4 linked regions of the Xenopus tropicalis genome follow. The protein of the gene in region 1 interacts with the protein of each later gene in a pairwise test. Links are inferred from orthologs where the notes say so. Each region holds a gene or a part of one and is shown in the gene's direction. Other genes may lie near its edges. The genes, in order: dnaja3, tcf19, htt and fam214b.

The links.
Region 2: the proteins of dnaja3 (region 1) and tcf19 interact in a two-hybrid assay, tested with the Homo sapiens proteins (2 studies listed by BioGRID and IntAct). The two-hybrid records come from large-scale screens. The link is inferred for Xenopus tropicalis from reciprocal best matches to the Homo sapiens genes DNAJA3 and TCF19.
Region 3: the proteins of dnaja3 (region 1) and htt interact in binary tests that used the Homo sapiens proteins (3 or more experiments, as listed by UniProt). The link is inferred for Xenopus tropicalis from reciprocal best matches to the Homo sapiens genes DNAJA3 and HTT.
Region 4: the proteins of dnaja3 (region 1) and fam214b interact in binary tests that used the Homo sapiens proteins (3 or more experiments, as listed by UniProt). The link is inferred for Xenopus tropicalis from reciprocal best matches to the Homo sapiens genes DNAJA3 and ATOSB.

The regions. Positions count from the first base shown.
Region 1 is NC_030685.2:20,290,986-20,295,388, reverse strand, and holds part of dnaja3 (dnaJ homolog subfamily A member 3, mitochondrial), read left to right. Parts: coding exon 1-72; intron 73-1,243; coding exon 1,244-1,327; intron 1,328-1,543; coding exon 1,544-1,747; intron 1,748-1,992; coding exon 1,993-2,145; intron 2,146-2,226; coding exon 2,227-2,374; intron 2,375-2,458; coding exon 2,459-2,523; intron 2,524-3,318; coding exon 3,319-3,447; intron 3,448-3,900; coding exon 3,901-4,016; intron 4,017-4,107; coding exon 4,108-4,205; intron 4,206-4,403. UniProt on the Homo sapiens protein: Modulates apoptotic signal transduction or effector structures within the mitochondrial matrix. Affect cytochrome C release from the mitochondria and caspase 3 activation, but not caspase 8 activation.
Region 2 is NC_030684.2:75,141,359-75,146,779, reverse strand, and holds the start of tcf19 (transcription factor 19), read left to right. Parts: upstream 1-2,088; 5' UTR 2,089-2,652; coding exon 2,653-2,935; intron 2,936-4,584; coding exon 4,585-5,158; intron 5,159-5,421. UniProt on the Homo sapiens protein: Potential transcription factor that may play a role in the regulation of genes involved in cell cycle G1/S transition. May bind to regulatory elements of genes, including the promoter of the transcription factor FOXO1.
Region 3 is NC_030677.2:22,741,428-22,746,303, forward strand, and holds part of htt (huntingtin), read left to right. Parts: intron 1-2,524; coding exon 2,525-2,608; intron 2,609-3,006; coding exon 3,007-3,127; intron 3,128-4,278; coding exon 4,279-4,338; intron 4,339-4,876.
Region 4 is NC_030677.2:212,898,660-212,904,001, reverse strand, and holds the start of fam214b (protein FAM214B), read left to right. Parts: upstream 1-1,703; 5' UTR 1,704-1,921; intron 1,922-5,342. UniProt on the Homo sapiens protein: Transcription regulator that may syncronize transcriptional and translational programs.

The DNA.
Region 1 (4,403 bases):
ACAGATTTTTACCAGGTACTGGGGGTGCCAAGGAACGCAAGCCAGAAAGAAATAAAGAAGGCCTATTACCAGGTGGGTCTCACTTGCAGAACACTTTTCATACCTTCAAGGCATAATGGACTATTTGTTACCATGGTACAGCAGCTGTTTGGAACCATCTTATAGATTGTAAGCTCTGTTGAACAGGGCCCTCTCTACTTCTTGTATCAGTCGTTATTAGTATGTTATCTGTATGTTTGATGTATGTACCTTTTTGTTGTACAGTGCTGCAGAATATGCTGGTGCTGGTTTCGTTTGAGCTATAGTTATCTCACTGCTGAATACAGTACAGAGACTTTTAAAAATCCATCTCCCTTGCTCAGCATAGGAAGGAAAGGGGTTGGGATTCATTTTTATATATATATATATATATTTTTTTTTTTTTTTTTTTTTAATGATTTAGGATTTTGTTCAGCAGGGTCCAATTTTCCCTAGCAACCAAGCAGTGGTGTGAATGAGAGGCTAGAATATGATAATAAGCAATAAATAAAAAAATTCCAAAATTGTAGCTGGAGATGGCTATAATTTTCAGACCCTCCATTTGAAGCAAGAGAGAGGTAGAAGAGAAAGACAAAAAAAAAATAAAGACCAATTAAAAAGATGCTAATACACCGTTCTGTAACATACCCCTTTAAAAATGACTAAATGCTGCTGCTGAGGCTTCTTAATTTTATTTACAGAGCTGACAAGGTTCTTATTCATTTATTTTACTTTGTGTAACTGGGGGTCTGTTGCATCATCATTTATGGCAATGGCCAATGGGGAGATTCTAAGGGGTGTATTTATTAACATTGGAAACAAACATTACCGGTGATGTTTCCCATAGCAACCAATCAGCAATTAGATTAGTATGGTCATCTACAAGTTGGAAAACAAAAGCAAAGATCAAATTGGATGCTATGAGCAACATTACCTGTGATGCTTGTCTCCAGTGTTAATAAATACACCCCCAAGTGTTTTGTCTTTGCTCTGCTGGAAGGGGGTAACACATTCAGACTTTCCCCCTTGTTTTCTTTCAGTAGCAGTCACTTTGCTGCATGAGTGCACCCACAGGTTCTGCCACACATTATAGTGACCATCACCTGACTAACTAGTGCGCCCACATTGTCAGGCAACTGCTTCTGATATAATCAGTTTGGAATTCTTCTTCCTTTTACCTTGTCACAAAGTTTTTGCATTTAACTGCTGCTGTTTTCCTTTCCAGCTGGCCAAAAAGTACCATCCAGACACTAACAAGGAGGATCCGCAAGCCAAAGAAAAGTTCTCTCAGCTGGCAGAAGCATACGAGGTAACAGTTCTAAAGGGCACAGGGGCATATTCTCTGCCAAAGAGTTTTTTTTAAGCTGCTGGAAAGGCGCCCAAACTTGGCCTTTCAGTTTATCATTTACTTTGACAACCAGGGACAGTGCATTTAAACTCCTACTTGGCAAAATCCAGATTTTGAATTAAATGACATTCCTAAGAACTGTCGCTGGCGCAATCTGATGTCCGTTTTCCTGCTTAGGTTTTGAGCGACGAGGTTAAACGCAAGCAGTATGACACTTATGGAACTGCAGACTTTGCTGCTGGGGCAGCAGGGGGAGGAGGACAACAATACTGGAGAGGAGGTCCTACTGTTGATCCAGAGGAACTGTTCCGAAAGATCTTTGGGGAGTTTTCTGGCTCCCCATTCGGAGACTTGGGTAGCATGTTTGAGCAGCCGCAAGAGGTAAGAGAGTAAAAGCCCAGACTGGCAATCTGTGGGTTCTGGCAAATGCCAGAGGGGCTGCTGTAAGATGCCATAGACAGTCACTATTTATTGGGCTGGTGGGGGGCTGTTTGGGTCTTTGTGTTCTTGAAATGCCAGGGCCTATTTTGCATCCCCATCCAGTCCTGAGAGAGTAGCAAGAAGCAATGGTCATATTTTGGATAAGTGGCGTTGCTTTACCAGGCGATAAAACTTCTCTCTTTCAGTACATCATGGATCTCACGTTCATTCAGGCGGCTAAGGGAGTGAATAAGCAGATCTCTGTAAACATTACGGACACGTGCCAGAGGTGTGATGGGAAAGGAAATGAGCCCGGCACCAAACTGCAGCACTGCCATTACTGCAATGGAACTGGCATGGTAAGAACGACATTGACATAGGCACCTGTGTCACGCTGATTTTGGTCAGGCAAGATATGACCGTTTGTTTGTTTAATCAAGGAAACTATCAACACTGGCCCCTTTGTGATGCGCTCAACATGCCGGCGCTGCGGTGGGAAGGGAGCTACGATGACCAACCCTTGCCTGTCATGCAGAGGCTCTGGCCAAACAAAGCAGAAGAAAACTGTTACAGTGCCTGTGCCTGCTGGTAAGTTTCTTGCAGGTAAATAGATATATAAATTGTGATCCATTTTGGAATGTACAATGGAGTCTCATTTTTGATTCCTGACAGGTGTGGAAGACGGGCAGACAGTTCGGATGCCGGTGGGAAAGAAAGAGATTTTTATTACATTTCGGGTAGGTGCTTTCTCCTGGGTCCTAAATGCTTTCAGTTCTAAGTGGGGTTGCCTTTCCCTAACTTGCCTGTGCTGTCCACAGATTTTGACAACTGTTTTCTTATAATATGATTTGAGAATTAAGAAGTAATGAGTTACAGGAGTATTGTGTTACTACCCATCCCTGCACAGCAGAGGGCAGTAATGCTTATCCTTGGCAATGTGCTTTAGTTACACAGCAGCCTGCTTGTCTTGCATCAGACATGTTATGTTTTCTCCTTCAGTAGTAAATTCGCCTACTTTTGTCAAGTAGATTTGCTGCTAAAAATTTACTTTATTATTTCTGCTGGAGGCTTCGGTCATGTTAAAGGGGTGGTTCACCTTCAACTTATAGAATGGCTTATTAGCAACTTTCCAACTGGTCTTCGTTTTCTGTCTGTTATAGTTTTGAAATTGTTTACCTTCTTCTGACTCTTTCCAGCCAAAATTAATATTGCTCTGTAAGGCTACAGTTGTACTTTTTATCACTTATCTTTACATTTAGGCCCTCCTCTATTCATATACCTGTCTCTTTTTCAAGCCACTGCCCAGTTGCTAGGTTAAATTGGACCCTAGCAACCAGATAGCTGCTGAACAAAAAGCTAAATAATTCAAAAACCACAACAAATAAAAAATGAAGACCAATTGCAAATTGTCTTAAAATAGCACTCTCTGTGTTGTGATAAAAGTTAAAGGTTTCAGTCCTAGAAATTTTTTTTACATCCTGTTCAGTCTCAGGTACTGGAGGACTGGCATTAAAACCCCTGGTCTGTTACAGGTGCAGAAAAGTCCAATCTTTAGAAGGGATGGGGCAGATATTCACTCGGACCTGTATATTTCCATTGCTCAAGCTGTTCTGGGGGGTTCGGCTCGTGCACAAGGACTTTATGATCCCATCAATGTCCCTGTAAGTATAACTGTCTTATTATTTGTTATGCATGGTCAGAATAGCAGGAACTATGAACGCACCAAACCCAGGCTTTGGCCCAATCCCAACACTTCAGGGCATGTTTATTAACTCTTGAGGTTTGGCAGATATGATGCCAGAAAATGGGAGTGAGTTCTTTTCATCTTCAAGATGGATATTTTTTGCAATATTTGCTGCGCTACTCTTTGTTTTAAGCTTGAATACAGGGTCACTGGGAAGTTAGCCTTTTACCATAGAAGGACTTTCAAAAAATAGTTAATGGGGGTAAAGCAATATTTTTTTTAAGATTTCACCATATTATTCCCCCCCCAATATATAGGATTTTGGTCAAATTAAAAAATGATGCATGTGGTCAATACCTAGTATTTATTTAATCTTTAAAAAAGTCATGTAGTTCAACCCCTAAAACCGGTCTCTTGCTACTCTTCCCAGGTCCCTGCCGGCACACAAGCAGACCAGAGGATTCGGATCAGTGGGAAAGGTATCCCTCGTATGAACAGTTATGGCTTTGGAGATCACTATATCCACATCAAGGTCAGAGTACCCAGGTGAGAGATCTTATGAGAGAACATTATGGAATGCCAAGCTGGGTAAAATAAATGCAGCCTAACTAATTGGCAAATTTCCCCTTTTGTGCAGGCATTTGACTGACAGGCAACGGATGCTAATGCTTAGCTTTGCAGAAGATGAGACAGATGTAGAAGGAACAGTAAATGGCATCACTAACACAACAACAGGTGAGTGATCCTTACAGGTTACCCCAGCTACAGGAAAGGTGTGGGGCTTACTTACTAAGGGCAGTGACACATGAGGAGATTAGCCACCCCGCAAATATCCTCTAGCGGTTGCAACCAATCTCCTCTGAATGCTTTTCTGCCAGTGGAAAAACGTGTCGCTTCAGCTTTCCGAAGTTGCCTTCAGAAAGCCAAAGTGTC
Region 2 (5,421 bases), on another chromosome or scaffold:
TGACCCTATGCATATGCAAAATCAACTAACATTCTTCCTATTCTAATAAATTACAAATGCCCAAATATAGATCTGCGAGAGGGGAGCTTGGGAAGTAAAATGGCACTGCAGTACAGTACTCCATTAGAAATTACTTTTTTTTTTTTTTTCCTTCATAGGAGTGCAGGCTCGGGGAGTATTTATTAACATCAGAGACAAACATTACCAGCAGGGTCGGACTGGGACTGGGACACCAGGAAAAATCCGGCGCTCCCCCTACTGACTGTACCTCCCCTGACGCGTTCAATTTATACATGCTCAGGGAGGATGTCAGGTGGGGGCCCTGCAGGGGGGTTAGGGGACGCGACTGGCTGGGGCACCTGCAGGAGCCCCAGTGGGCACTGCACCCACCAGTCCAACCCTGATCACCAGTGATATTGCCCATAGCAACCGGATGACATTGATGCACTGATGACATCTGTATCAAATGTTAATAACTACACCCATAGGTGACTGAATTCACTGGGAGGTGCACCCTAGGTGAAATTAGCTTTCCTTGTCCTTAAAGGTCACCTTTATATATTTAAAAATTGTTAAATTTGTGTTTTTATCATTTTGTTGCTTAAAGCAGAAGAAAGGGAAAATCACTGGGAGTGCCAGGGGGCACCCACCAGTGACTGTAATGGCTTACTTTTTATCCCAGGCTGGTGCTCCTGTTAGGAGAAAAGCATACCAGCCCGGGGTAGCTGTGAGCCAGCCATTCTCGTTCTTTTCTTGCTGCTTGCGCACAAGCAGTAGAGTAAAAAGCTGAACTAACAAAAAATCCAGCTTTTTCACTCTGCTGCGTATGCGTGGCACTCCCAGTGATTTTTAGCTTTTCTTCTCCTTTAATTTACCTATTACAGGTATGGGATCCCGTATCCAGAAACCTTTTACCCAGAAAGTTCTGAATTACAGCAAGCCCATCTCCAATAGACTCTATTAAAAGCAAATAATTCTAAAAAATTATTTTCTTTTTCTCAGTAATGAAAATAGTACCTTGTACTTGATCCCAACTAAGATAAAATTAAGCCTTATTGGAGGCAAAACAAGCCTATTGGGTTTATTCAATGCTTAAATTATTTTTAGCAGATTTAAGTTATGGAGATCCAAATTACAGAAAGATCCCTTATCCGGAAAACCCCAGGTCCTGAGCATACTGAATAACCGGTCCCATACCTGTATTATGTTATAGGATGGCCTATCCTTAGAAACTTTTTAACCAGTCTTTCAATTTTTTGGATTATGTACAATTCTCTTCTGCCGCTTTTCAGCTTTAATACAGAGTTTTGGTTGCGGGGCTTAGTGTGCCCTATTTTAAATGATTTCACTTCTATTCAGGTACTTTTCTTTTATATTGCACTCTCTCATTCAATCAACTGCTGGTGGCTAGTGTAAACAGGTGCCTAGTAACCATATTGCTGCCGACATTTCAAACTGGACAGCTGCTAAATACAAAACTTACAAATAAAAAGACCTGCATATTTTCTCAGAATTTTCCACTCTAAAACATAAGTTCATGTAAAAAATCTTGGCGTCACTGGCAAACATTTGTGTTTTGCTTACCTGCTACTACTGAGTGAATATAGGCTTGAAGTCTCTATTTCCCAACAGATCTTAATAACAATCTCGCCACTCAAGAGCATACATCTATGGATAGCATGGTAATAACAACCCGACCCATGACTGTGATGGAACTATAATACATTCCTCTGTACGCTTTCCCTTCTGCGATCAACAAATTTCGCGGCTTTAAGCCCGGGAACCAATCCCCTATCCTACTGCAGCCGTATAACTAACACCATTCCAAACAGAACTACAACAAATCCTTCCTCCTGGCAACCTTCTTTTACCCACTCACTGTTCGTATTTGTTTGTTTCCAATAAAGTTAAGCAAGATATATTTGCGTAGCTGCTATCCAATCATAAGCACAGAGGAAACTAAGCCGCCAATCATAGAAGACACGAAGTCTCTTTCGCGAGAGTTTGGCTGGTAAAAAAAAACAGGCGCGGAGAGCTCTTAACCAATCAGTATAAAGTGAGTAAAACTGTTGTCGGCTAGGTACAGTGTTTTTTTGCCAGACAGTTCGTTTGTAGGCGTGGTTACAAGGAGGTGGGTGTCAACCTATGGGCGATAACGCGCCAAATTTCAAAGGCGCGCTTCCTTCCTCTGATTTCCCGCCGTGGTCCCGGTCAGAGTTGGGCTCAGCTGGTAGCGGCGGCTCGGTGGGAACCGTGACGTCACGCACTCAGTCTCCCCCGCTATATTGCGACTCCCATGGGAAGTAATTGCTAGGGGGAGATTTGTGCATGAAGAGTACATCTACTGTAATAGTGTGGGATGCAAACTATATTGAGGTCTGCAGTGTTAGGTTAGGCAGCCTTAGTCGGTCTAGTTTCTGTTCTGTACAAGGGCATTGTGTTGCTGATAGAATTAGGTGAGATGGTTCTTCTGTGCGAGGTTTAGGGCTGCTATTAAGTATTAGTGTGCTGCACTGCGACAAAGAGCTCCACCTAAACTTATAAATAAAATCTATATATTTAGACTAGCAGGGACAGTATTTCATTGTGGGTAAGGGACTCCATTAAGGTAGTGGGAAAAAGGTGGGTTGGTCAGAAAATTGGCAGGCTGCCATGGTAGGGTCAGAAGTTGTGCTTACACAGGTACAGCCCTGTTTCCAGCTTTTGCGCATGGGCTCAAGCCCAGGACAGTCAAGCATAAATGCAAATAGCACAGCGTCCAGAGATTTGTATACTTTCCTGCCAGACTCGCCATGCTGCATCTACCGACTGGGAGCCCAGCATGATTTATGTGATGTCCCCCTCCCTGGAAAACCTGCTGTCCATGCAAAAATACATGCAGAGCGGGAGCTCTCAGGAGACTGGAAGGTTAACTTGGAAAGCTGCACTCACTTTGGTAAGTTTGTAGCCAAATAGTTCAGGATATGTAGAGATTTCATCACTCTTATCTGGTGAACAACTATTTCTTAGGTATGCCCAGGCTCTCTTTGTTTTGGGCTCATTGTACTCCACCTATCGCCCTTTATGTTTGTTATCCCAAGCCAATGCTCACACACCCTACTTAGCTGTGTTGGTAACCCTGTGAAACATACAGCGCTGCTCACAAGCCCACAGAGTGCTCTCATTCTCAAAGCTTTTATTTCCCCTGCCATAACTGTAAAGCTGGCCATACACGCACCGATAATATCGCACGGAACCTTGGTGCATGTATGGCAACTCGGCAAGGTGACCAATATGGCAGAAGGCTGCAGATATTGGTCGACTCGCTGATTGGGCGCCATTGAAGGCAAAACCTTCATGGCTGAATCGGCAGAAGGAGGTAGAAATCCTATTGTTTCTACCTCCATATCTGACGATTTAGCCCTGAACGTCAGTGGAGGGTTGGAAGGATCTTTCATGCGACCAAAGGTCACATGAAATATCGAAAATCGTCACGTGTGTGGCCAGCTTTAGACACTGCCCTAAACAGACAGCTTCTTAAGAAAATGATTCCCCTTTTTGTGGCAGTAGTGGGCCTGTATTCAAAGCTTAAGGTCCCCATACACAGGCCGATTCTAGCTGCCGATATCGGTCCCTTAGACCGATTCGGCAGCTAATCGGCCCGTGTATGGGCACTACCGACGGGCCTGCCCAACTGATATCTGGCCTGAAATCGCCAGATATCGATTGGGCAGGTTAAAAAATCTAGTCTGATTGGGGACCGCATTGGCTCGTTGATGCGGTCCCCGGACTGACTTTGCCTATACTTGCCGTTATAATTCAATCGTTTGGCCCCAGGGCCAAACGATCGAGTTAGCCTGGATTCTCCCGATATTGCCCCCCCGTAGGTGGGGGATATCGGGAGAAGATCTGCTCGCTTGGCAACATCGCCAAGCGAGCGGATCTGAAGGTGTACGGGCACTTTAAGAGAGGTGCTGGATCTCTAGAGCAGAAAGAGCCCTGTTCCATCCTCACTGCCACAAAAGAACACTTTTTACAATGTATGGTATATTAAATAATGGGTGATGTGCTTGGCTAAAGTTTGAGGGAAAACAAGGAAAGGCAATGTCATGGCTATATGGACTGCCATAAAATGAAACAGTGTGGGCATGTGATTAATAACATGAGGAAATGTCAGTGTAGGTAAGGGACAGCTATAGAATGGTTGGTGAGATGCTGCAAGTTGTTATAGTTGTGTTTTACAGTGGGCAGACTGAATGATGTGTGTGTGTTTTGAGGGACCGTAGTCATGAAGTTAGCAATGGAGATAGAGCTAACTGAAGTTACTTCATTTAAGGTACATATGCATTCTGCAGAAGTATATGCTTGCATCTGACAGTGGTAGGGATTGATATTTTTGTTGCTGTATGCCTACTGGAATACAGATTTCCACTTAATATCCATATCTTCATCATTAGAATGTTGAATTGATTATCCAGGTACAGTATAGAAACTAGTTTCTTACTGGAGATCCAGCAATTCAACCGCAAACAATCACTTTTCTTACTCTTCTGCCATTACTGCAATGCTTTTATTAAGGTACATTCCCTTTGTGTCCTCAAACAGGTATATACATAAATGATGTTCATCTTTTGCAAGGACAGAGAATGGAACTTTCAGATGGTGACCTCCTCCGCTTCCAAGAAAAATCAGATGTTTCGCCATGTCAGTCATCTTCCCCTGACACGTACTTCCTTTTCCAGCGTGTTAGAGTGCGTCCATTGGACTTTTCCGCTATCACTTCCCCACGTGCTCGATCCTCTTTTCCTGGTTTTACCCCAGTTTTAGCCACACAGAGACTTAGTGGAGGGCGAGGCGGGTCACCTCACTATACTACTGGAGCCACTGTTATTCTGAACTCCATTGGCAGCATTAGTAAAATGAAGCGTGAAAGGATGCAGGGCATTGGGCTCATGGGAGGAGCAGTGGAACTGACCAAACCATCCACGCCTGATCTTCCTTTACCCTCTCGGACTGGAGTTGAAAGGAGACACAGCCGAAGAAAAGCACAGCATCAAGTACTTTGTGAACTAGAAGAGGATGAAGAAGATGGACAGGTAGAAGTAGGAGAAATGAAGAAGAGGAAAAGAGGAAGAAGGAAAGAAGAGAGGAAAATGGTTAATCATGAGCAGACTGGAAGGTATTAAGAATTGTTATCAACATAAAATTGTGATTTCACCAAGGAAACTGGCTTGTTTTAAGTAATTTCTCTAACTGTTCAAAATTGTCGGATTCTAGCTACCATTATCCCATATGTTATTACTCTTGCACCCTGCAGTATGTACCTTATGGAATAACTTCCATGCTTTCCATGGTATTGGTTGAGCTGCATCAGTAAAAGGGCTTGTCTGTCATCTTTAAACATGTTAAGGTTGCCATAGATGGTATTCTTTTACACCAAAA
Region 3 (4,876 bases), on another chromosome or scaffold:
ACCGCAGGTCCCAAGGATTCTGGATAACAGGTCCCATACCTGTAATAGTGACTGCTGCTTGTCTACAATAGTATGGTGCAAATGACACGGTTATTGTGCATTTACCGTATTTTTCGCCGTATAAGACGCACTTTTTCTTCCCCCAAACTGGGGGGGAAAAGCCTGTGGGTCTTATACGGCGAATACTCACCCACCGCCAAGTCATCGCCGGAGGCTCCTTCTCTCTTATGCGGCAGCGTCAGGCCTTTTTATAAGGTTGTGCCCGTGCGTATGACGTCACACGTCAGCAACGAGGCACAACCTTATAGAAGAGCCTGTTGCAGCGGCATAAGAGAGGAGCCTCCGGCGATGGTCTGTCACGGGTACTTTATATGGGGGCAATTGGGGGCTACTGTTTATGGGGGCAATTGGGGCACTTTCTATTGGGGGCACTGTGTGTAGGGGCTATTGTCTATGGGGCAATTGGGGGCACTGTTTATGGGGGCAATTGAGGCACTGTGTATGGGGGCACTGTTTATGGGGGCAATTGGGGTACTGTGTATGGGGGTACTGTGTATGGAGGCACTTTCTATTGGGGCCCTGTGTGTGGGGGCTACTGTCTATGGGGCAATTGGGGGCACTGTTTATGGGGGCAACTAGGGCACTGTGTATGGGGGCACTTTCTATTGGGGGCACTGTGTGTGGGGGCTACTGTCTATGGGGCAATTGGGGCACTGTGTATGGGGGCACTTTTGTAATATTTGGGGGGATATTACCCCCCCCCGTGGACGTCCGTACCATGCGTCCTCTTCCCCTTGCAGTGCCAATCGGCACGCACTGACACTGCTGACATTGGCGCGCGCACCTCTAGTCATGCAAAGCACACAGCAGGATGGCAAGTACTTGATAATTAGTATATTATATAGTTCAGAATCTTTTTTTTCTAGATTTTTCTCCTTTAAAATTGGGTGCGTCTTATATTCCGGAGCGTCTTATATGGCGAAAAATACGGTATTTGCACAGAATTAGCAAGCATTCTGTTTAAATTAGACAAAAATTGCTCATTTGTTGCTCAGGTAACAGAGGGTCTATTAAAGTGTGATAAACATAGTGACAGTGAATAAGAAATTACATTTTAAATGCATACTCTTAAGAAATAGGGTTTAAGTTTGCTATTGTTATGCATATATTAATCAAAACACATTGAGATAAGGGATCCACAATATGTAGCACAATGCATTAAGGATACTAAAAACAATTCTTCTCTATTGTCCCCAACATGGATGTACGCAGCTGAGTTACCATGAAGTATAAGGTGCTGTTTTATTATTAAAGAGAGTTAAAGCGCTATGGAAAATGGCCTTCCTATATTTAACAGCTTTGTGTATCAGTATTGATAAATAGGTCTATTTGCTAAAAACTTTTTAGACAATTGGACATTTCATAAAGCAGCAGAAGTTTCACCCATACAGAGTTTGCTGCTAGAGCCTTACCAATCTCTGTAACAGAGCTACTATCTTAGTTGATACATAAGTTGCACTTACCAATCTCTGTAACAGAGCTACTATCGTAGTCGATACATCAGTTGCATTTCTCTTGTGCTTCTGATGCATCAACTAATGTATTCAAATCTTACAGAGCTTATAAGAGAGAGGAAAGGCAAACAAATTTATTATTACATAGTAAAAAATAATTATTTGCGGTATACTATTTAAAATATTGTGAAAGAGTGAGAATAAGTGGCGTAGACTTAATGTCCCATCTGCCATTGTCCTTGTAGTTGAATGCTTAAAGCTACAAATGCACTATGCAAAAGCTTTTTTTCCCCCTTCGCTGCTGGAAATGCTATTATACATGTATTTTTGCCCTGTTTTGTGCTTGACATAGTTATTTCTATGAAATTTAATGGAAATGTCTATTAGCTCGTTATATAATAGAGTTTCTCCCTGCAGGGCACAAATAACTATTAGCTTTTCATGACAGCTTCAGCACTGAGTATAATAAGGCTGAAATATATTAGCTTGCCCAAATACAGCAAGGGCTGCAAGTAAAACCTTACATTCATTCTGTAACTATAATCAGAGCTTTTACTTGGTACAGAAAAAAAATAGAAATCAGGCAGATGGCAGCTTTTTGGCATACAGTAGGGAGGATCCTTCCTGTGTCCCTAAGTAAAACTGGCCCGAAATGGACCAATAGAACCTGCCAATTCAGTCCCTTCATACCGAGTCAGATTATTATCATTCCATTTATGGGGTCTCCCCTCCTGATATATGCCCAACTTTGTGACTGTTCATGCTTTGATAAATAGACACGTCAGGGTAACGCCATATTTGGCTGAGCTTATATGCAGGCTGAGAAACAGCCTCTCCACTCATACTTGAAATCTTCTGTGTCTGCACCGGGAGCCACGGCGTCGGCCTAGGTACAGACACACGGAGCAGATCAGAATGGAATAATTTCTATATATATTATCATAATAACTTGTGATACCTCCTTTTCCTCAAATTAGTCTTACGTTTTCTTATATTTTATTTTCTCTTAGGAAGAAAGATCCTTCAACAAACAAGAAAGATCGTGTCAATCACTGTCTAACAATTTGTGAAAACATTGTTGCACAGTCTTTAAGGTACAGATATAGTCTGCTTTCGCCCCTTGCCTTGCAGCAACAATTGCTTCTATATTTTCCATTCTGTATTCTGTGTCAATGGCTCTGTGCCCTCTGTAAATGGATTTGTCAGCTCCCTCTTCCACATGCATGTTCTGCTGCATCTATAAATATGTATATAAGTATATGGGGAAGTAGGTTTCCCTAATACAATAATAAAATCCATATCTTTAGTGAGCTTTACATTTGACTTATCTGTTCTTTTGCTATGCATGTAGGTGTTTACATCATCTTTTGGTGCTTTATAGAAATCATTTTTATACACAGGCTACATTTTTACTGTCCTTTCTGGTAGTAGGACTGTCTGTGTTAGTCATGTGTTTTGTTTAAAATATTGATGACCTGCACTCTTGCATTAGGAATTCTCCCGAGTTCCAGAAGCTGCTGGGTATTGCCATGGAGCTGTTCCTACTGTGCAGCGATGACGCAGAGTCTGATGTGCGGATGGTTGCTGATGAATGCCTCAATAAAGTGGTGAAGGTATGTATTGGAGATTGCAGACTATATATGGGAATGTATGAATAAAATTGTCTTGAATTTGACCCTTCACAGGTAATCCTTAAAATAAGGGTTACATTTTTTTGGATAAAAACTCCATAGTTAAGGGCTATGCCACTGGCACTCATGGCAATTAAATAATTAAATCTCCTTCAGTTGTTTCCCGATGACTTCAATAAGAAGTATCTCAAGGAGCTTGACTCCCTCTATTAGTGCTCAGAAGCTAGAGTGATAGTGGATGCATTGCAACCTGCAGCTCTTTTCATTCAAACGATTGGCATACACTCTAGAGCAATTAGTGGCAATTTAATAAACACAAGAAGTAGGACAATAAGAATGCAGCATGTTCTTAGTATAGCACTTAGTGTTCCATATTCCAGTTGTAAATATGAAGAATGGGTATGAAACTGAATACTAAAGAGCAAAAGGCTACAAAACATTTTTAAGCATTTGGATGTCCTAGTTGATGTTAATCGGCAAGGACTAGGCCCCAAATGACCTTTTTCAGTTTTCAACTGAAACTTGGGCAAAATTGCAGCAAACATGGGTAAAATTGCAGCAGAGACGTGATTCCAAACACAAGGTCAGAGTTACAATGGAGTGGCTCAAGAACTAAAAGAAAAAGTCCCTGCTTGCAGATCCTGCCTTAGTTGTCAATATTAAAAACAAAAAGTTATCCAACTATAGCTGGGCATACACTTAAAGATATATTCATTTTGCCACCTTACCATATAAGCAGTTCTTTGCTTAATTTGCCCATCTATCTCCAATTGTTTCTCCCTCAGGTCAATGATAAAGTCATAAGAGTGGCCTATCAGACCTGTTGGGAGACTGTTGCAGATCTTATAAAGATCTGACCAAATATCATTCAGGCATGCTGTCGGCCAGGTACCTGCTTATAAACTGGCCATTTATTCTGGAGTGGTTGAGCCAACAGCTTATGTCAGGCAATATATGTCCAACTTAACATGAACAACCTGGAACAAGTAGCCCGTATGAAAAAGAAAGATAGTGATATATATATATATATATGTCATAGGGGCTGTGCTGAGGCCCCTCTCCCAATCTAAACCACCCATGCACCCATATATATGTTTGTGTGTTAAAGAAAAGTATATTTCTTTCTTATCTAGGCTTTAATGGACTCTAATCTCCCGAGGCTGCAGTTAGAACTTTACAAGGAAATTAAAAAGGTGAGTGCATTTGTAGTTCTGTTAGGTTTAACAAGAGCTTGTTTGTCTCTTCTAACCTAGGGACTCTCAGCTTTTTGTTTGACTCAGGGATGTCTATATGAGCTCAGTTGCTGACTCACAAGGCAAGTTCATATTTTATATTGAAGCTAGAGCAGCTTTCCATTAGGATAAGGAGTTTTTTTCAATCAAGTTATAGAAGATGTAGGAATCAAATTAGGCAGAGTTTTAAACTTGAGCCCTCATATAGGTCATGCCTTCTGCCTCTTACCAAAGAATGATTCATACATAGACAATATACTTCATGCCACTAGGATATATTACCTAACTACTAACCCACATATATCATTGTGATACATTCACAAGGCCTAAATGTTAAGCCAGCATAATATGGGGCTACATTCGGGAAGGTGTGTGTGAGATTAAAGGGATATTGAATATCAGAAAATGGATTTTCATTTTAACTTAATTGTAAATTAGTTTAATTGGCTGCTTGGATTGTGAATAGCAAACAAAGTAATGCCTTGACACCTCAACTCTT
Region 4 (5,342 bases), on another chromosome or scaffold:
TGTTATGCTTTTATCTCCTTTTGCCTTACCCCCCCCCCTATATGGAACGTACCATCATTAGGGGTCGGCTCGCTCCCCCGGGTACTAATTAGCTTTCAGCATCTGGGTGAGTTACCTGCTCGGAGTTAAAGGGGCCGCGCACTCATTAACCCATCGCTCTGTGTGTGTGACAGTGATTGGCCGGGGAGACAAAGGAACAGATGGCAGAAGAGTTGGATCCTGGGGGCCCTTGGGGGGGATGCGCCAGTCACGGGGCCACGGTGCCAGGAACAGGTCTTGTTACTCTGCGGTGTCTGTAGGGTCGGATTTGCCCCTGCACCAACCACCGGGGGCACAAACCTAGGTCTGCACATAGGGGAGGGTAAGTACCTGTGGGTATTAGCGGTGCCACCTGCCCGGGGAATGTTGCTTGTGCCATTAGTGAGGTTGGGCAGTGATGTTGGGGGTCAGGCTCACAGTCGGGGTTCCATCCCACAGGGGGTCAGTTGGGTTGCCCCTCCCCTTGCTGCTATAACTGCCCCTGCCCTTCTGGGAAGGTTCCCACTAGATGGTGGAACAGTGTTGCTGGGAGTTGCTCCCATTCAGCTAGAGGGCTGGCAGGGCAAGGTCATATGTGCCCGGGCTGAAAGGGGAGGGGTTAATAATACAGCTGAGAAGGGGGTGGCAGTTGTATGTATGTATGTATGTATGTATATCTTTATTTATAAAGTGCTACTTATGTACGCAGCGCTGTACAGTAGAATACATTAATACAAACAGGGGGTTAAAGATAATGAATAAATACAAAGTACAACAATAAATACAATAAATACAAGGTACAGTTGCAATAAGAGTCAGAAACACAAGATGGAGGAGGTCCCTGCCCCGTAGAGCTTACAATCTATATGGGAGGGGTAACAAACAGACACAAATGGGCAAATGTAAGTGCTGTAGGTCACAGTGGGTGACATTACAGTATAAGTTGTTAATAAGAGGGGTTAATAGTACAGCTGAGAAGGAGATGGCAGGGGAGGGGTTAATAGTACAGCTGAGAAGGAGATGGCAGGGGGAGGGGGTTAATAGTACAGCTGAGAAGGAGATGGCAGGGGAGGGGTTAATAGTACAGCTGAGAAGGGGTGGCAGGGGAGGGGTTAATAGTACAGCTGAGAAAGGGAGGGTAGCGAGTGGCAGGGGAGGGGTTAATAGTACAGCTGAGAAGGAGATGGCAGGAGAGGGGTTAATAGTACAGCTGAGAAGGAGATGGCAGGGGAGGGGTTAATAATACAGCTGAGAAGGGGGTGGCAGGGGAGGGGTTAATAGTACAGCTGAGAAGGAGATGGCAGGGGAGGGGTTAATAGTACAGCTGAGAAGGAGATGGCAGGGGAGGGGTTAATAATACAGCTGAGAAGGAGATGGCAGGGGAGGGGTTAATAGTACAGCTGAGAAGGAGATGGCAGGGGAGGGGTTAATAATACAGCTGAGAAGGAGATGGCAGGGGAGGGGTTAATAGTACAGCTGAGAAGAGGAAGGGGTTAATGCTTCAAGGTTACATAAGTAGGGGTTTGCAGGGGTTAATGGGGGAGATAAGAGGGGGGGCCGGCAGGGCAGGGGTTAATGAGCGCAAGGTGAGCTGGGAGGAGGAGAGAGCTGAGCTGTGACTTCCCTGCCTACCAATGAGAAAGGAGTTTTTACAGCCAATCAGCGGGCCGACCGTGAGTGAAGGGGGCGGGGTTAGGGAGGGGCCAAGCCCAATCAGCTGGCAGAGTGAGGGCGCAGGGCTCCGGCGCTATTGAGGCAGATTGTGGCCCCGGAGCCGCCGAATCCTCCCGTCACAGACCGACCGCCCCGCCCGCCCGCACCCCGGGATCCAGCCGGCCCTCTGTGCCCTCTCCCCGGAGCCTCCCCCCACCGGGCCTCACACCCCTGCCTGGGAAAGTTTGGGGTAAGTCTGCCCTGGGGGAGGGGTATCAGTGCAACACTGGCTGCCATTGTACTGGGCCACAGGGCTTACACTCTATCTACTGCTGGACACGCCCTCTGGGAGGGGCATCTGCATTCCTCACAGGTCTCTTTAACCCCTTCCCCTTAGTCCTTATGGCAGGGAGCTTGTCCTGAGAGATATGGCTCTGTGGTGCTGGGAGTTGGGGGAGGCCCACCCTAGTGCTGGGAGTTGGGGGAGGCCCACCCTAGTGCTGGGAGTTGGGGGAGGCCCACCCTAGTGCTGGGAGTTGGGGGAGGCCCACCCTAGTGCTGGGAGTTGGGGGAGGCCCACCCTAGTGCTGGGAGTTGGGGGAGGCCACCCTAGTGCTGGGAGTTGGGGGAGGCCCACCCTAGTGCTGGGAGTTGGGGGAGGCCCACCCTAGTGCTGGGAGTTGGGGGAGGCCCACCCTAGTGCTGGGAGTTGGGGGAGGCCCACCCTAGTGCTGGGAGTTGGGGGAGGCCCACCCTAGTGCTGGGAGTTGGGGGAGGCCCACCCTAGTGCTGGGAGTTGGGGGAGGCCCACCCTAGTGCTGGGAGTTGGGGGAGGCCCACCCTAGTGCTGGGAGTTGGGGGAGGCCCACCCTAGTGCTGGGAGTTGGGGGAGGCCCACCCTAGTGCTGGGAGTTGCCCCGGGCCCACCCTAGTGCAGGGAGTTGCCCCGGGCCCACCCTAGTGCAGGGAGTTGCCCCGGGCCCACCCTAGTGCAGGGAGTTGCCCCGGGCCCACCCTAGTGCAGGGAGTTGCCCCGGGCCCACCCTAGTGCAGGGAGTTGCCCCGGGCCCACCCTAGTGCAGGGAGTTGCCCCGGGCCCACCCTAGTGCAGGGAGTTGCCCCGGGCCCACCCTAGTGCAGGGAGTTGCCCCGGGCCCACCCTAGTGCAGGGAGTTGCCCCGGGCACATCTGCCTGTATATTCTGCTTGCATTGTATTTACTGCACTTTGCACTTTCCTGTCCCAAGGAAACACGGCATTCTATCCCACTGGCACAGATCCTATCTGATCCCCCCCCATTGTAAGCAGCAGTCCTGCCCTGCTTTATGGCTGAGATTCTAGCTATCTGTATAACAGAGCATTCTGTCACAGTGGCACAGATCCTATCTGATCCCCCCATTGTAAGCAGCAGTCCTGCCCTGCTTTATGGCTGAGATTCTAGCTATCTGTATAACAGAGCATTCTGTCACAGTGGCACAGATCCTATCCCCCCCCATTGTAAGCAGCAGTCCTGCCCTGCTTTATGGCTGAGATTCTAGCTATCTGTATAACAGAGCATTCTGTCACAGTGGCACAGATCCTATCTGATCCCCCATTGTAAGCAGCAGTCCTGCCCTGCTTTATGGCTGAGATTCTAGCTATCTGTATAACAGAGCATTCTGTCACAGTGGCACAGATCCTATCTGATCCCCCCATTGTAAGCAGTAGTCCTGCCCTGCTTTATGGCTGAGATTCTAGCTATCTGTATAACAGAGCATTCTGTCACAGTGGCACAGATCCTATCTGATCCCCCCATTGTAAGCAGCAGTCCTGCCCTGCTTTATGGCTGAGATTCTAGCTATCTGTATAACAGAGCATTCTGTCACAGTGGCACAGATCCTATCCCCCCCCCCCCCCATTGTAAGCAGCAGTCCTGCCCTGCTTTATGGCTGAGATTCTAGCTATCTGTATAACAGAGCATTCTGTCACAGTGGCACAGATCCTATCTGATCCCCCCATTGTAAGCAGCAGTCCTGCCCTGCTTTATGGCTGAGATTCTAGCTATCTGTATAACAGAGCATTCTGTCACAGTGGCACAGATCCTATCTGATCCCCCCCCCCCATTGTAAGCAGCAGTCCTGCCCTGCTTTATGGCTGAGATTCTAGCTATCTGTATAACAGAGCATTCTGTCACAGTGGCACAGATCCTATCTGATCCCCCCATTGTAAGCAGCAGTCCTGCCCTGCTTTATGGCTGAGATTCTAGCTATCTGTATAACAGAGCATTCTGTCACAGTGGCACAGATCCTATCTGATCCCCCCCATTGTAAGCAGCAGTCCTGCCCTGCTTTATGGCTGAGATTCTAGCTATCTGTATAACAGAGCATTCTGTCACAGTGGCACAGATCCTATCTGATCCCCCCATTGTAAGCAGCAGTCCTGCCCTGCTTTATGGCTGAGATTCTAGCTATCTGTATAACAGAGCATTCTGTCACAGTGGCACAGATCCTATCTGATCCCCCCATTGTAAGCAGCAGCCCTGCCCTGCTTTATGGCTGAGATTCTAGCTATCTGTATAACAGAGCATTCTGTCACAGTGGCACAGATCCTATCTGATCCCCCCATTGTAAGCAGCAGTCCTGCCCTGCTTTATGGCAGAGATTCTATGTGAGTCAGTAGGAGGCACAGACTGGGTGCTTGTGGGAGTGGCTGGGCCTATTTCTGTGCTGCTATAGATAACGACTCCCTACTAGGTGACATGTCAGTGGGTGACACAGTGGGTGACACAGTGGGTGCTACAGAGGGAGGGAATAGCCCTGCGCTGCTGTTCATGACTCGGCAGATACATTTGTTCCTGAGTGAGTCACTGCGGTGCATCTGCTCCCGGTATAAAAGCGGAAATGAGTCGCCAGGCGCCAGACAGTTGTCAGAAATGAATGAGAATCAGTAGATCCAGTTAGGCCTGTGGGTTTCCCAGCAGGCCGTGGGGTAGAGTATAAGCCTTTGGGTTCCCCGGTACCTGGGGCGCAGCTTTCTGTCTGACCCGGGACAGTTTGTTCCCTGCCGTGGGACACAAAGCGCAAACATTGGACAAACAAACAGAACTCACATTTTCCAAAGCTAAGAAATTCCGAAGCCTCCTTTGTTCTCTGGCCGTGAAGTGAACTCCCCGCCCCCTGTAGGGACTACACCTCCCAGCATTCCCAGCGGGCACATTAGGCACAAGTCTGAAAGTGCTGCGGCGATAAAGGTCTCTCTAAATCATTGAATGTATGTAGGTGGGAGCTGCCATGTTTGTTCCCTAAGACAGAGGAAATGGGGGGGGGTGTTCTGGTTACCCAGGGAGTACTGTGCCTGTCCCAGTGGTACAGCAGGGGAGGTTCTGGTTACCCAGGGAGTACTGTGCCTGTCCCAGTGGTACAGCAGGGGGGGTTCTGGTTACCCAGGGAGTACTGTGCCTGCCCAGTGGTACAGCAGGGGGGGTTTTCTGGTTACCCAGGGAGTACTGTGCCTGCCCCAGTGGTACAGCAGGGGGGTTCTGGTTTACTGTGCCTGTCCCAGTGGTACAGCAGGGGGGGTTCTGGTTACCCAGGGAGTACTGTGCCTGCCCCAGTGGTACAGCAGGGGGGGTTCTGGTTCCCAGGGAGTACTGTGCCTGCCCCAGTGGTACAGCAGGGGGGTTCTGGTTACCCA